Caenorhabditis elegans: one gene and its partner. The protein of the gene in region 2 interacts with the protein of the main gene of each other region in a pairwise test. Each region holds a gene or a part of one and is shown on either strand. Other genes may lie near its edges.

The links.
Region 1: the proteins of hlh-3 (region 2) and hlh-2 interact in a two-hybrid assay, tested with the Caenorhabditis elegans proteins (2 studies listed by BioGRID).

What each region holds. Positions count from the first base shown.
Region 1 is NC_003279.8:7,188,260-7,195,718, forward strand, and holds hlh-2 (Helix-loop-helix protein hlh-2), read right to left. Parts: upstream 5,662-7,459; 5' UTR 5,649-5,661; coding exon 5,504-5,648; intron 5,154-5,503; coding exon 4,666-5,153; intron 3,827-4,665; coding exon 3,525-3,826; intron 3,413-3,524; coding exon 3,271-3,412; intron 3,104-3,270; coding exon 2,981-3,103; 3' UTR 2,529-2,980; downstream 1-2,528. Other genes in the region: plag-15 (PhosphoLipase A2 Group), read left to right, coding at 280-394, 683-842, 894-1,111, 1,321-1,463, 1,512-1,660, 1,763-2,231. UniProt on the Caenorhabditis elegans protein: Transcription factor which binds the E box motif 5'-CA[TC][AG]TG-3'. Plays a key role in the anchor cell/ventral uterine precursor cell (AC/VU) decision; required for VU fate.
Region 2 is NC_003280.10:9,082,828-9,090,671, reverse strand, and holds hlh-3 (Helix-loop-helix protein 3), read right to left. Parts: upstream 4,065-7,844; 5' UTR 4,062-4,064; coding exon 3,867-4,061; intron 3,376-3,866; coding exon 3,058-3,375; 3' UTR 2,764-3,057; downstream 1-2,763. Other genes in the region: sysm-1 (ShKT domain-containing protein), read left to right, coding at 7,541-7,662, 7,714-7,827. UniProt on the Caenorhabditis elegans protein: Probable transcriptional regulator. May mediate transcriptional activation by binding to the E-box motif 5'-CANNTG-3'. Plays a role in the differentiation of the hermaphrodite-specific motor neurons (HSN) that are required for normal egg laying.

The sequences.
Region 1 (7,459 bases), on a different chromosome or scaffold from region 2:
ATCGTAAATATTTTATTGTTGTATAATAAATCGCAGTTCTCTACTTGTATGTCAGTAATATCCCAGATTCACCTTCTCACCTTCACCCTTGTCTACTCTGAAGATATGACCATGTGATGAACATTTGCGACTTTGATTTATTGATGTGTCTCTATAGAGAACAAGGTGTTGAGAAGAGACGCAAAGAAAACGACTGAAAAAGAAGAAAAAGGGTTGGAGGGAGAAGATTGAGCTCATAGTGGAGCCTCCATCATCATACCCGACTGGTCAGTTCAACAGATGCGGGATATCCTGGTTTCTTTGTGTATTTTCTTGGTTTTAATTGGAAAAAGTGACACGAAATGGTTTGGAAAGTTTGGCAGATCACAAGCGAAAGGACTTCCGGTGATTCTCGGTGAGCTTTTGTTTTATTTGATTTCTTAACTTTAAATCTTTCAAGTCGTTCGGTCGGTCTACTGTAATTATATTTCTTTATTTTAAATTTTAAATTTTATATTTTTGAATTACATCCACAATTGTTCAAGTTCTCAGTTCTGATGTTTTATTTGATCAGAATTGAAAAGATATCTAGTACTTTCTAATACGAGTTCTAAAAAGTTTCATACATTCCAAATTAGTTTTAGTCCGTTTTTAGCAAATTGGAATTTAAAAAATCGCAATAAATATATTGTATAGTTTTCAGTGCCTGGTGATGGAGGCAGCCAGCTGGAATCAAATCTAACGGGTAAACCATCAGTTGTGCATTATGTTTGCTCCAAGCAGACAGCCGATTATTTTGATCTTTGGCTTAATCTACAACTTTTCACACCTTTGGTTATTGATTGTTGGGCTGATAACATGCAGTAAGTTTCATTATTTCCAGAGCAAAGAAAATCAATTTAATAACATTTCAGATTAGTGTTCAACACAACCACAGGATTGTCTGAAAACATGCCAGGAGTTGACATTAGAGTTGCTGGATTTGGAGCAACTGAAAGTGTTGAATGGTTGGATAAGAGTAAAGCATCACAGGGAAGATACTTCTTTGATATCGTTGATTCGATGGTTTCATGGGGTTATCGAAGAGGAAAAAATGTCATTGGAGCACCTTTTGATTGGAGAAAATCCCCAAGTGAGTTGAGCCTTCAGAATTAAGAGAATACATAGGTTCATTTGTTTCTCATAGAAATTGACATTTTCTGGTTTATACCCGCGCTAAAAGTCCGCGTACCGTTTGCGCCAACTTTCCAATTGCGAACTTGCTCACAAAGATCAGCAAAACCGTTTTTTTGCACTCCGAATTACCAAACCAACTTTGTATTTAATTCTAAACAATTTCAGATGAATTAAACGATTATCTCATTCAACTGAAGTCCTTAATTGAAACCACATATCGCTGGAATGACAATCAAAAGATCGTACTCGTCGGTCACAGTATGGGTAATCCCCTTTCTTTGTATTTCTTGAATAATTATGTGGATCAGGTGAGATAATTGAAAGGTGTTAGATGAAATAACACTTATTGTTTCCAGGCTTGGAAAGACAAATACATATCGAGTTTTGTTAGTTTGGCGGCTCCATGGGCTGGATCAATGCAAATTGTTCGATTATTTGCATCTGGATATAATATGAATTATTATAGAGTTATTCTACCACCGAGTAGCTTGAGAGCAATGCAAAGGTAAGCACTTTGAGGTGTTTGGAAACTTAAAAGTGAAATATTTACTCTTATGGTGCTAAGACTACCAAATTATGTTTTTCTTCAACTTATTTGGTTCTTCAGATCATTCTCCTCTTCGGCCTTTCTGTTTCCAAGTCCAGTTGCATGGAAACCACATGAAATATTAGCGACAACTGCTGACAAAAACTACACTGTTGGAAATATTAAAGAATTCTTTCAAGACATTAATTACATGGTTGGATGGGAACAATACAAACAGGCCGCCCGTCTGAATGGAAATTTAAGTTCTCCAGGAGTTCCAGTTCATTGTATTTATGGAACAGGAGTCCCCACACCGGAAAAGTTTTCATGGGCTCCCGGATACTTTCCAGATTATCCACCAACTGAATTCATGGGTGATGGAGACGGGACAGTGAACAAAAAATCAGCTACAGTGTGCACTAATTGGATTGGAAATAATAATGGTTATAAGGTTACTGTACACGAAGTATTTCAAGCTGATCACATGGCAATTCTTAAACATCCAAATGCAATTGAACTTGTCCGAAAAGCCATTTTCCAGTTAATTTGAGTGATGCAAAAAGGGTTCTGAATTTTAAAATTTTGTTTGTTTTGATCAAGGTGAATGAATTATGTTTGTATCACATTTTTTCCCGTTGTTGACATTTTATACATCCAATATTCCTATACATCAGTTTTGACAGACCATGAAAAAAACATCTCGTTTCAACGACTTAGAAAGTCAAACTAAATGTCTAATTATAAATGGGAATCCCTTTCAACATAAAGTGGAATCCATACTGCGAAGGACATTAGCACTTCATCGGAGCTTGGATAATTAAAGTGTTGAAACAGTTACCCAATAGAGTAATTCATGTGTGAAATTAGTTGGCGGTGTCTTTTTTTTTGAGTGGACCATTTCATTTCAAGTAGATACTAATTAGCTATGGTTTATCACATACACACACACAAAAAATAAGACAAGTTGGAAGAAGTTGATTGAATGAATGAATAATATGAAAGTTAATTTTAATACTTGAAATATTAGAATTAGCTATTGATTGATTTAAATTTAGAGGAGAAAATAAATTAAAAACATACAGAAAATTGTGATGATCTTGTAATAAAGTTTAAAATTTTTAAAACTGAAAACTGATTGAAGTTGAGAAATCACAGGACCTCCAATCCGGAGGGAGATGAAGGGGAACATTTGAATAGTTTGAACAAAAAAACAATATGCTAGAGAGTTTTAGCCGTATGGATGATTGGGAGAAGATTGGGAATGATAGTTTGAAATGCTTAAAAAGTCAATTTTTAAATTTAAAACCGTGGATGTCCAAACTGCGCGGATGGTGCATTGTCATCAAGCATCTTCATTTTATCATCATCAGGTTTCCTTTTCATTCCAGCCATCACTTTTGGATTCATATTTCGTTGACGAACCTGTAAAATTATAAATTTCAACTTGTTCAGTGTTTTGTTTAAATTTTTCGAATAAATTCCATCGCAATGTTATGTGCTTCAAAGTCAAAAATACAGCAGTCGAACAATTGCCAATTAATTTTGTTCACAATTTGAATGTTTCTTTAAAATATGAAAAATTATCTAACCTGTTCTTCCAATTGTGTAATCACAGATACTGCATTGTGTAGAATTCCCAATTTTGTTTGATTCCGTTCTGTATTCTGATTGTGCTGTGTGCACATTCGTCCGAGCTCTTTGAATGCCGAATTGATGTCACGAACTCGTACTCTGTAAGTTTTTTGTATTAGATTAGATTTGGAGATATCTCGATTAAATTACTATGTAATTGTCAATTTCCAATGTTCAATTCAAAACGTCTTAAAAGTAAAAAACTCCTCACCTTTCTCGAGCATTATTCTGTGATCTCCTATCCGTATCTTTGTCATCACTCATTGATTCATTATCAGAAAGCCTTGAAGACGATGAATGGCGAGTTGGAATTCCAGAAGATGGAGGGCCTTGTACCCGACGACGGCTCGTTGCTCTTGATGCAGACTTATCATTTCGAACAGATGATGCACTTGATCCTGGTGGCATTCCGGTCATTCCTGGATATCCATTTGGATCAAAGTGTGGGCTCATACCGGCTGGTGGGAATTGATGATTGTAGTCAACCAAGTTGGTATCTCCACCAAGACCATTCTGCAATATTTCATTGTTTTTGGTTTTATAATTTCTATAACCCTCATCTAAAACTACTCAACTTTTTCTCTCAATGAAACAAAACAAAGAATTAATTTCATTTGCCTTGCTAGTCAGTTAATTCTCTCAAATGGTACTATTGGGGGCCGAGTCAAATCAATCGATCTCTTTAATGTACTGAACCCCGCAATGTGACCGTCTCTGTTCACCACTTAATCATGCGGCGACGTCGGTCAATAGCCCCCTTCGGTTTTCGAGGACACCATCAGAAAATGTGACCGGCTATTGGGTAACAATGCAAAAAGCAAGAGCTTCAAATTTTGGCCAATTTAGTTATTCACTAGTCAGAGGTTGGATACAGGGATTTTACCATATTATTCTAGATTTCTCAAGACTGGAACGCAAAAAAATGTCATCAGGGTCTCAAAACTTTGTTCACGACAACAGTAGTTCAGAATCTTAATGTTTAGTATTGTCATATGGCAAAAATTATTTTAAAGAAAACTGAAAGAATCTCAAAAATTTCCTCCAACAAAAAAAGCGATAAACTTTGCCTAATTATGTAACTAATCCATCTTTTCTGTATGTTTCTCCTTGTTTTATGTTTACATTAGTGACTTTTTTGGAGGTCGTTTAGTGCGCACAGGGTGTTCTTCTCAAGAAGATGCCGCCTTTTGCATGCATCTCAATCTTCAGAAGGCGGCGGCTCACATCAAAAGGAAGCGGATTATGCATACGTGAATGCTTGGCGGCTGAGGAGGGCCAAGCAATCATTCGTCGAGATTAACTTGTGGTAAAACAGTAAAACACGAATAAAACCAAGAAGAATAGAAACGTACCGGCTGTCCAGCAAGTTGCTGCTGATACGATGAGAAGTCGGCAACTGATGGATCAGCACCAAATGTATATGTTGGAGGGATTGAGATGTATGGATTAACAGCTTCACTTGCTTTGTTATCTTCTGAAGGTGGAAGGTAACCTGGATATGTTTGTGGCCATGTATACATTGATGACATTGCGTCAATTGGTGCGGTAAGATTAGTAAGAGGCTGTGGAGCAACAATCGCTGATGTTTCTGCAGAATTCGTGGCTGGAGCTGTTGTTGGCTTTAACTCAAGCACATCAGTAGTTGAAGTTGGAGCTGGAGCAGTAGATGGAGCCGTCGTTGAAGTGGATGATGTTGCATGAATTGGCTTAATATCAGATGTTGCAGAAGTTGGAGCAGCTACGGAAGCAGGGGTTTCAGTTGGTGGATGTGTTGGAAGGAAGGCTGATGAATAATCAATATCCGTTGTTTGCATCGGAGGATACGGGTTGAGATGGTATCCTGAAAATGTTTATTTAGATGACTTGCACTTGAGAAATGAGATATAAACATTTTGGTTAATAAACTACTTACTAGAGCAAACCAGATTTTTACAAAATTTTAGAACATTAAAAGAGTTATACATTTTGTTTCAACTTAAAGTAAATTTTAAAAATTTGCGAGCTTATAAAATCAACAATTCAACAATTCGAGATAAGTAATACCAAACTTATATCCTTTTTCTGCAATTTATCCAATATTTCTAACTGATTACAAGCGACTTTTAACAAATTCACGAAAACATGTTTGGTTTGGTTTACCAAATGATATAATTGAAATTATAATAGATTTCAAATGAAAAAAAGACTAACCACTCCAATAATCAGGCATCTGAATCGTTGTCGGATCAATATTATAAGGATAATCATATGCATTTGGAAGCATAACCTGTGGTTGAGCAATGGCGGCAGTTGCAACAGTTGTGGCTGACGTAAGTTGGCTATTTGGATCCGCCATTGAGGTTCTGAAAACTTTATTTCTGCGAAATGATATGAAAGACGATTATAGTAGTAATGTCAAAGAAATAAAGTCAGCGGAGAAGCGGGGAGAGGAAAGGGAATAAGTAGGGAATTGGGCTGGAGCAGCAGGTGAAAAAATTAGGTTAGTAAATATATTCTGATTAGATTTTCGTCAAGACAACCCCATTTGAAGAAATATTGAGAATAAGAAAAAGAAGAAAATAATCGATTCTCCTCGTTTGGTTAAATAGGCAAACGAGATCAAAAGAGGCAAGGTAGATCAATAAAGAATAATAATTGTGACGTCACAATAGATCTACTAAGTTCCGGTATAAATTATTAGGAGCAAGTTACTTGAAGGAGAACAATTTGTAGGGAGGTAATGATGTTGAGATGGTATCAAGAAATAGTTGTAAATGTAGATGTCATTGTAGATGATTATCGGATGGATGACATCCCGAAAGAGCAATAAAATAACAGTAAAGGGGTGATGGATCAAAGGGTTTCAGGCCCATCTAAATAATTAGTTTAAATTCAGACGTAGGATAAGATATATATGAAAGCTTTAAACGTGAGCTAGTAACATTTCGGATGCAAATATACATTTTTTGATAAACTCAATAATTGAAAAAAAAACTGCCCTACAATACATTTGCGTTCTTGTTTAAATTCAAAATTGGTAAGGATTCGTAAACATTGTAGGAGTGAGAAAAAGTAATGCAGATCAAAATTATTTGGTAAAAGATCCAAAATTGAAAATTGGGAGGAGAGAAATTTTAATTTTCAAAATCAGAAGATGGGATACATTATGTATTTCATTCAAAATATGTGCTATGTTTTATTACAGTAAGATCATGAACTTGAAAAGCTAGTAAACGGAACAGATTTAGACACAAAAAAAGACGAAAAGAGTGCACTCCCCCCTTCTTAGCGGCTATGCGGGTGGCTAGGAATGGTTCTTCGAGGGTGGTGGTAGTGGAGGGACGCGTATAAAAGCCCATTCAAGGGACATAAACAGTATATTGGTGTACATAGACGCAGACATTCTTTCTCCCGGGGACCGTCTACATCCAAGAGACGCAGAGACGATGATCGGGAGAGGTCACGCCCACAACCATCTCTCTCTACCTCCTGCAGCACACAATCCTCTATTATCCCGGGGTCCTCCATCTCTTCTCCCACCATTCATTCACCAGTCTTTTTTGGGTGAAATGAGAGGAAAATGGGGGAAGGATTGAATGAATAAGGGGATTGAATGAATAGAAGAGGTCAGCTCTCTTGGGGGAAAATGTCGCCACCCGACTGTAGGGAGTACATTCATTTTTGAAGCATGTTATTAGAGTTTTGTAGGGATCTCTGAAATTTTAATTCTTCAGAATATGGTAAGAGTGAGAGAAAGAGTGTGCACAGGAAAGGGGTATATTTTATTAGAATAAAGTTACTCATATTCACAACAGAAGTTTCAGCAATCACAATACTGTGGGACTACTCGAGTCTTCAAATATCTTGAGCCATATCCTAAAATTGTCTCTCTGTGGTAATAAACCAACAATTATAAAAAGAAATGATACTTCCAATGCCCGTCTCTAAAGTGCATTTTTTGACAGATGTTGTCAAAAGTATACGGTACTGGAACTTTTTTCTCGAGAGTATTTGGGGAGGTGTCTATTGTGGGACGGAGTGCAGCTGTCATCAAATTCAAGTGCTCAATGGTTTGGTTAGAAAAAGTTAGAAATACGGTAATAATGACGAATTTGTTCTACAAATATGATTAACTAAATGGTGATACTTATTTGAGAATGTTGAAAA
Region 2 (7,844 bases):
TTTATGTTCTTTCCCCCTTCCTAATTCTTTTGACCTGTCTCTCTCTCTATCTCCTAATGAAATGGTAATAAACAGTGCTCCGTTGTCTGCGAATATTCGTGTGTTTTTACCCAATCTATTCACTCCTCGCGAACCAGAAAAACTTTGTCCATCGACGATACCATTGCTATTATATTTTTTTGTCTCTCTTTTCATACTCACACCTGCAACGGAAAGTGCGACAATTCGAAACTAGCAATTAGACAGAAACAATAGATAATGAACTTATTGTAACGGTTGAAAGGAGACTGATCACTTGAGGTTCCATGTATTGTTGTCGATAGGTGATTGTGATGAGTCGAGTGGATGCTGTAATTATAGATGTTGGTCCAATAGTATATGGTCAAGTTGTTCAGACGCAACAAGTCAAATACAATAATTATGTCGTTTGTCCAGCAATTACAAGAATATATTTTTACAAAACTACTCGAAGATCGAGAAACTTAAAAATAGAGAACATATGTACAAATTCATCGGTAGTAATTACTCATTGGTAGTAAGTAAAAATATAATCGTTTAAACGTTCCATTCATAAATTTTCATAAAAGTTATTTGGAGATGGCCAGTTATCTTATGTGGGTCCTAACTAGAATAAATTACATGACAAAAATCCGGGCAATAAGATTTTGCAGTTATAGTCATCACCCCTCCCAGTCAAAAGCTAGGTCCTTGTAAAAGTTTTACGAATATCCTACCGTATATTCATACAAAAACAACAAAAATATTTTGGACACCCGTGTACGACCTTGCTTACCCCTAATTCCTCTCAAAACATACACATATAAACATCTCCGAGACCTTTTCCTTTTCCCCACTTCCCTTTCAAAATTACACCCTTCACTGAGCTCTTTCCCTCCGGTAAATCCCGAAATCCGCCTAGAGGAGTCCGGTAATTGGTGTTGTGCAACGATTTTCCGGGGGTTCCTAATGTGGGCCTTCATCATACTGTCTGAAGCTGGGAGGTAAGCACATGTGTGGACATGAGCATACAATACGGTATGCACCTGCTATTTGATTAATTCATGCGAGATGCGGGGACGGTGAAGGGCTATGGGAGGAGAAGATGTAGCAAAGATTTGAAAATTACTCTACATTCATGTATTCATTGATTCTTCGCATGCTCACAGATGGTATATGAAAAGGTTTTCTGGATGAAAAAGTTATGAAACTAGAATAAGTAAAAACTGGGATTGCTTAAAAGTTATAAAACAATTTTTTAGCTTTGTTATTTTTTTAATAACTCATTAAAATTCAAGATAAATGTTTTCCGTACGCTTATCTGAAAAAAATGTTGTGTCGCATATCATAATATCTCAAACTGAATGAGCAGAAAAAGCCCAAGACTTAATTTTTAGAATTTTTCCGTTGCAGATTTCATATCTACTTCATATTGGAACTCTGAATACTATAATGCAAAATTCTGAAAGATCGGATGGTTCCACATGATCCCAATATGCGTTAAATAACTGAGTAAAGCCGAAGATTTCCGTTTCAGTTCGAGACAGAAATGCTTTAAAACTTTTATACTATTTGCCACGTCATTCTCCTTACAATAACATGATTCGTAATCCTTTCACATTGCGAAACACGATCCATGACGCAAGTGAAGGATTACATATACTTGTTACGGAAGGCTATCAATTCATGATGATCCCTTCAGCTCCTCTTCAAAATTGACACCTGTAGACATGGTATATCCTCCCTCTTCAACTGTTTTTTTTTCTGTGATGCCTATTCAAATGCGATTCGTCAAATGTCTAAATCTCCCCTCTTTACTTTATATTCCTGCTTGAATAATGAGCATGTTCGAGTGCCCTTTTTTGCGGGTGTCAATTAGAATTCACCCATGGGCATGGACACAAGAAAAAACACGGCAAAAAAACGGAAAAAAACACACACCCGTAGTGGTCAGAAATGGGGAAAACGAAGCGAAAAGAAGAGTGAGTGAGAGCCCATTTCGATTTGCATTTGATCGAGTATTCTTCGTCTATTCTTCTTCCCCTAGTGACCCACATTTTAGAGCAGCCCTTTTTTGTTGGAAAACCCCAGAAAAAAGGTCAAGTTGTCTAGGAAGAAGGGGTGTAAATGGAGACAGTTTTATTGTGGGCAATGATGCCGCCGTAAAAGACAAAAGAATAAACGGGTGGGATTACGTTGCATAAAAGGCCCGACATGCAACAAAAAAGAAGTGCAAAGAAGTCTTCCCAGAAGATGAAGTAAACATATTAATGGTATTCCTGGCTAATATAGACAATGAGAACGGAAATGTCACTGTACTTTTGACATGGGAAATACTGAAAGACAACATTTGTTAACTGATTGAAGATCTTATCAAAATGTGAAATTGGGGCAACCTTTTTTCAAGACTTTTGAGAGTTTTTAAATTATTAAAAAAAAAGGAAATTATTTTAACTTGCAAAAACAAGGAGCTGGTGCACAAGAAACCTATGTTCTAGGAATTCTTTTTCTTTAATTCTGCCTCTCTATTAAATATACATATTTTTTTTAGATATCATACATTTAAACCTATAGACAATATTCGAATATGGACCTTCTCGGAGTTTAATGGTGATTTCCTGGCGAATTATCAAGTAGGCTGGTGGCAGATAGGTACCACACTCTACCAAAAAATGTCAAACGTCATAGTTTTCCTTTTTTTGGTTGCCATCAGTTAGTTACCAAAATGTTCGAATTGTTAAAAGTATCACTAAATGTGAAAGATATTTATTGCACAGATTGAGCAGAATAATTTAGATAAACAACTGTTTTGAGATCAAAAAAACTATCGTACAATAAATAATGAAAATCAAATTTAATCTAGACGTAAAAAACAATCAAAGATAGTTAATAAGTAAGTATTTATGGCTATTATCAGAGTTTTTGAAATGAAATATACTGAGCACCTACTCAACTGAAATTGTTTCAATTAAACCTTATCAAGTACACATAGGAAACGGTAAAGGAATTGGATCACCCGATTATTTGAGAAAAACAGAAAATATGGTACAACTTAACAGATTAATAAGTTTCTGTATGCGAATAAAAGCTATGATGATCACCAGAAGTGGATGCAGAAGATGATGAGCTTTCTTGATAATAGTGAGATGACATATCATGCTGATTAGAGGACATCATTTGTGGTGGTGGATAGTATGGAGAGGTGTAGCTTGGCGATGGAGTCTGTGCCATCATTGAGCAAACAGATTGGGGATATACGGGAGACTGTTCTGGAGTTGGAAAGTCAGCTGGCATCGAATTATGGAAACTTGTGGAAGACATTCCGAGTTGCTTCTGCAGTTCTTGAATGTAACGGGCGGCTTCACGAAGGGTTTCGACCTGAAATTTTAGAAATAAATTATAATCTTAAATAAATCTATTCATAATTTTCTACTGCAAATATGATTTGGATATTTAATTTTGGTTTTCTAATTGATAAATGAAACCCTAATATACATTTTTCTAAGTTACAGAGCTGAATAATTTTTGTTATAGTCTTTTAAGCACGAAAGGATTAGTGCGAACAATTTGTTTCAAAAAGCATTGCGCTGGAGCTTCTGAATATTTTTAGTAAATAACGAAAAAAAGCTAGGCTGAAATAATTTTACATGAAATAATCAAGTTGGCAGCTTATTCTAAAACATTGCATAATCTTTGATATTAGCCTATATACGAGAACATTTTGCCAATTGGTTTTCTAAATAATATATTTCAATTTTTCACAAAACATAATCAAAACCCTATAATCAAACCGCAAATTTCTCCTTTAGGCAAATCAAATTTACAATTTGCTTCACGTTTTCTCCCAAACACCACAAAACTACTCTCACCTTTGACAACTTTGCCTTGTTTCCAGCAGCTTTTGGTACTCTTTCTTGCAATAGAACAAATCCCTGATTGACTTGATCAACACGTTTTCGTTCACGTTCATTACGCTTTTGCTTCGTCTGCTTCGTTACTGAAGACTTACTTGACGACGGAATTTTGGTGGATGTAGATGGAGTTGAGGAGGTGGATGCGGTCATATTCTGCAAATACAGTTGAAAAATTTAATTTGAAATTTTAAAGGAAAAGGAAATAAGAGTACATTTTAAGTTTAATTTTTATACAAACAGCGTTAAGAGAGACTTTCTAGAACGAAAAAGAATAAAGAAAAGGAGATTAAGAACTATGGAAAAATGCAAGAACATTAAATGATCAACCATAAACTCGAAAAATAAATAAAAAATTCAAAAAAGAGGAATGAAAACGAGAAATGACCCACCACATCACGAAGGGGAAGACACAACACGAATGCGCGGAAAAGTGGGCGGGGTCGGGAAGGGCAACCAAATAAGGGAGGGCTGAGTTGGGGGAGAGACGAAGGGTGGGAATATTGATGTGAACATATATAGTTTGCAATCAATTAATTAATGTTGTATTATGATCTACCAAAAAGTTTCAGTCTACATTTATTGATGTGATTGCAATTCTGTCACCATGTTAATAAAAAATAAAAACAGGAGTGCTAAATACTCTAGATTTTAAATTAAGAAAAAAATCACTAAATCAAGTTTTCATCTACCATGGATGGACTGAACTTTTCAGATTGTCTTTGTTGTACCATGGCGCCAGAACGATCGCTCTGCGAATACTGTAATACTGTAGTAATGTCTTCCATGTTTCTATAACTTTCCTTGGATTTTCCATTGAAACGTGTATAAAGTAAAAAAAAATTCTGGAGACCAACAGCAGCCTTTCAGGAGCTTGAGTTCAGAAATATTTTCAGTATCTAAAATGTGGCCGGTTCTTGTTTTGTGTGCAAATTTTTTAAAATCAGCTGAAATTGAAAATTTCTTCTGATCGTAAAATAAGTAAAATAAGCGATGGCTTCACTGTTAGAGAAACACGGAGAGAACATGTCGTTCTGAAGCATTGCACTTTCTCAAATTCCCATTTCATATGTTTAATGAATTTCCAATACAAATATCATTTAGTGCAATAGTTGATTATCCATAAAACTGCGGCCTAATGAGATTGAATGAGGGGTGCTAACCGTCGATCACATTTTATGGTTTTGTTTCTGCCCTATTTGAATTTTCATGTAAAACGCACTGCGACACTAGAGGAAAAGACCGGAGAGTGCAGGAAAAGCCGCTTTGAATGTCAATTATCCGGCATCCTAATGATACTGTTATTGACTAGTGCTTTTTGCCGGCTCACGCTCACTTGAGCCCTTGAGCTCTTCTTTTTTACTGGCAGCCGACTCAGGAAATGAACAGAGCTTCCAAGAAAAATGAGAACAATGAGAGATTAGTGCTCTTTTTATGGTACCGACTTTCTAAAAACAGTTATGAGACAATACATTTCCTAAGAAGAGTGAAATTGAAACTATCTAAATTTTGAAATTACAGTCAGGATCAAGGGTGTCAATTCCCGTTTCCCGTTTTTCCCGTTGTCCCGTTTTTGGGGTGTTTTCACGGGAACGGGAATTCCCGTTGTCCCGTTTTAAAAATTTTCACGGGAACTGGACATTTTCCCTCATTTTTTGGCTTTTTAAATATCTGTTTAATATTGAAAAAATCGATAAAAATGTTTATAATGCAGTTTTTTTTATAATTTGCCTCGAATACACTAAAATTTACGCCAACTATGCACTCTTTTTTTTTAAACCGCCCAGTTTGTCCCGTTTTTGAGTGTTTTCAAAAAAACGGGAATTCCCGTTGTCCCGTTTTTGAAATTTTCACGGGAACGGGAATTCCCGTTTTCCCGTTTTTAAAATTTTCACGGGAACGGGAATTCCCGTTGTCCCGTTTTCGAAATTTTTACGGGACATTGACACCCTTGGTCAGGATATAACCTAGTTGAAACCACCTTAAAAGAGTTTTGTTACATTGAATGGATACTGAAAGCAATAGGATACACATGATCTTTTTAAGACCGAATCTTAAAGATCGGCTGCCAAAACCTACAGTTAATCCGTTTGACATAAAACAAAAGAATTTAAAAAAAAACTGTAGATATTAGGAAATAGAGTGACCCACTGGCCTTGGTACCAGTCCGTACATCTTCTTTCAAATGTATGTTTTATGTGTTTAAAAATTGATTATCTCTGACACCTTCTTGCGGCGGCACGTATCCCGCTGTGCTCGAAGTGTGTGAAATATTGAATAAATTGAAAAGACTTAGACAGTTCCGATGGGTTCTTCAAACGACCTCTCTATCATTATTTTGAATTCGATTTCAATTTATTTCAATTGAATTCGATTCAATTTTGAAAAACGTACGGGCGAAAAATTGCAAAAATTAAGGATCCAGGTCCAAGTGAAATATTATATCCCACAGTCAAACAATGACATGTTGTAACCTCAATATTTTGATACATCACCAGACACGGTTATGGGAACGCAGAGGTGGCAATTTCAGGGACGATATGTTGGAGCAATCGATAGAAAAGAATGGTGGGAAACTGGAATGGTGAAGGTATTGGAAGGGAATGTGTATGTGAATCTTGGAACATGTCTACCAAAAGGCGATCAGTCTTTCATTCAATATTTCATATCCAAAATACGACTTGTAGTCCATAGTTGAGTTGCGACCTTAACAGTATCGCTTTACAATTAGGAGACCCAAAAATGGTTTCTACCACTAAAACAGCAGACAAATAAACTTAACTTGAAAGCGTGTTCAAACTTCTACTTAAGAAGGATTAGTGCCTAATTAGTGATTGATGATTGACTAACAATTGTGAGTCCCGCAAAGTTGACCTAACCTTATACTTGACTCTCTTCTGTGCAAATACAGAAAACTACTGATGTGCTTTGCAAATTTGAATGGAATAATAATAAATTTCTAATGAGAGGGAGTTGGGTACGACGATGAGATCTTAAAATAATGCTTTTAAATTGTTTTCATACTTTTAAAAGAATTTGAAAAAAATCAGAATAGTCAAAATAATGGTTTCTATCATGTAGGCAGTACAATGAGCGAATTAGGATTCAAATGTTCTCGTGAGCTGTCCATATGCTACATCCGGCTGCCTATTCAGGCAGGTAGCAATGATTTTTCAAAACTAATTAATTTATTAACCCCTTGAATGCTTCTGGTTTGTTACAATTGTTATGGAATTGATTTAAATTAATATTTTAAAAAAATTAGTTACGATTTTTGGAGCAGAGAGACATATTTTACTTGAACGACTCCAAAAAAACAATCAAAAAGGTAGAGCTCCATCTTTCCAAATCATAATAGTTTTACTTCATTTTTAGATTTTCAAATTATCAAATTATCAAATATCAGAAATTTGTCACTTCAATTGTTCTAAACTTTACCCTTGACGTAGTTTTATAGAAATCTTGCCATCTTGCCGATCTTTGACATTTAAAAGCACGATGCACTCCGAATGTCAATGAAATACGGTGATATCATGAGTCTACACCCACATTGACTCTTTGATCTTTTCCAGATTAATTGATAAGAACTCCTCATATAAACTTGACTCAGTTATCATTTATGTATCACCAAAATGCGTTATCTCATCGGATTTGTGATTGTGCTTGTAGCTTACACTGCTTCAGAGTCGTGTGTCGACTCAAGACCATCATGCCCTTCACTCAAAAATTACTGTAACGAAGCAGATGTTAGAAGGTAAGGCACATACTTAGAATTGTTCGGATGAAAATGTTGTTTTCTTTTCAGTGGTTGTCGTAAAACCTGTGGTGTCTGCGTTACCGATACTCCATTTGTATGCGAAGACAAGCTCGGTCTCTGCCCAAACTATGTTAGACAATGCCATGATGAAAATATTGCTGAGTGAGAAATCAAACTAG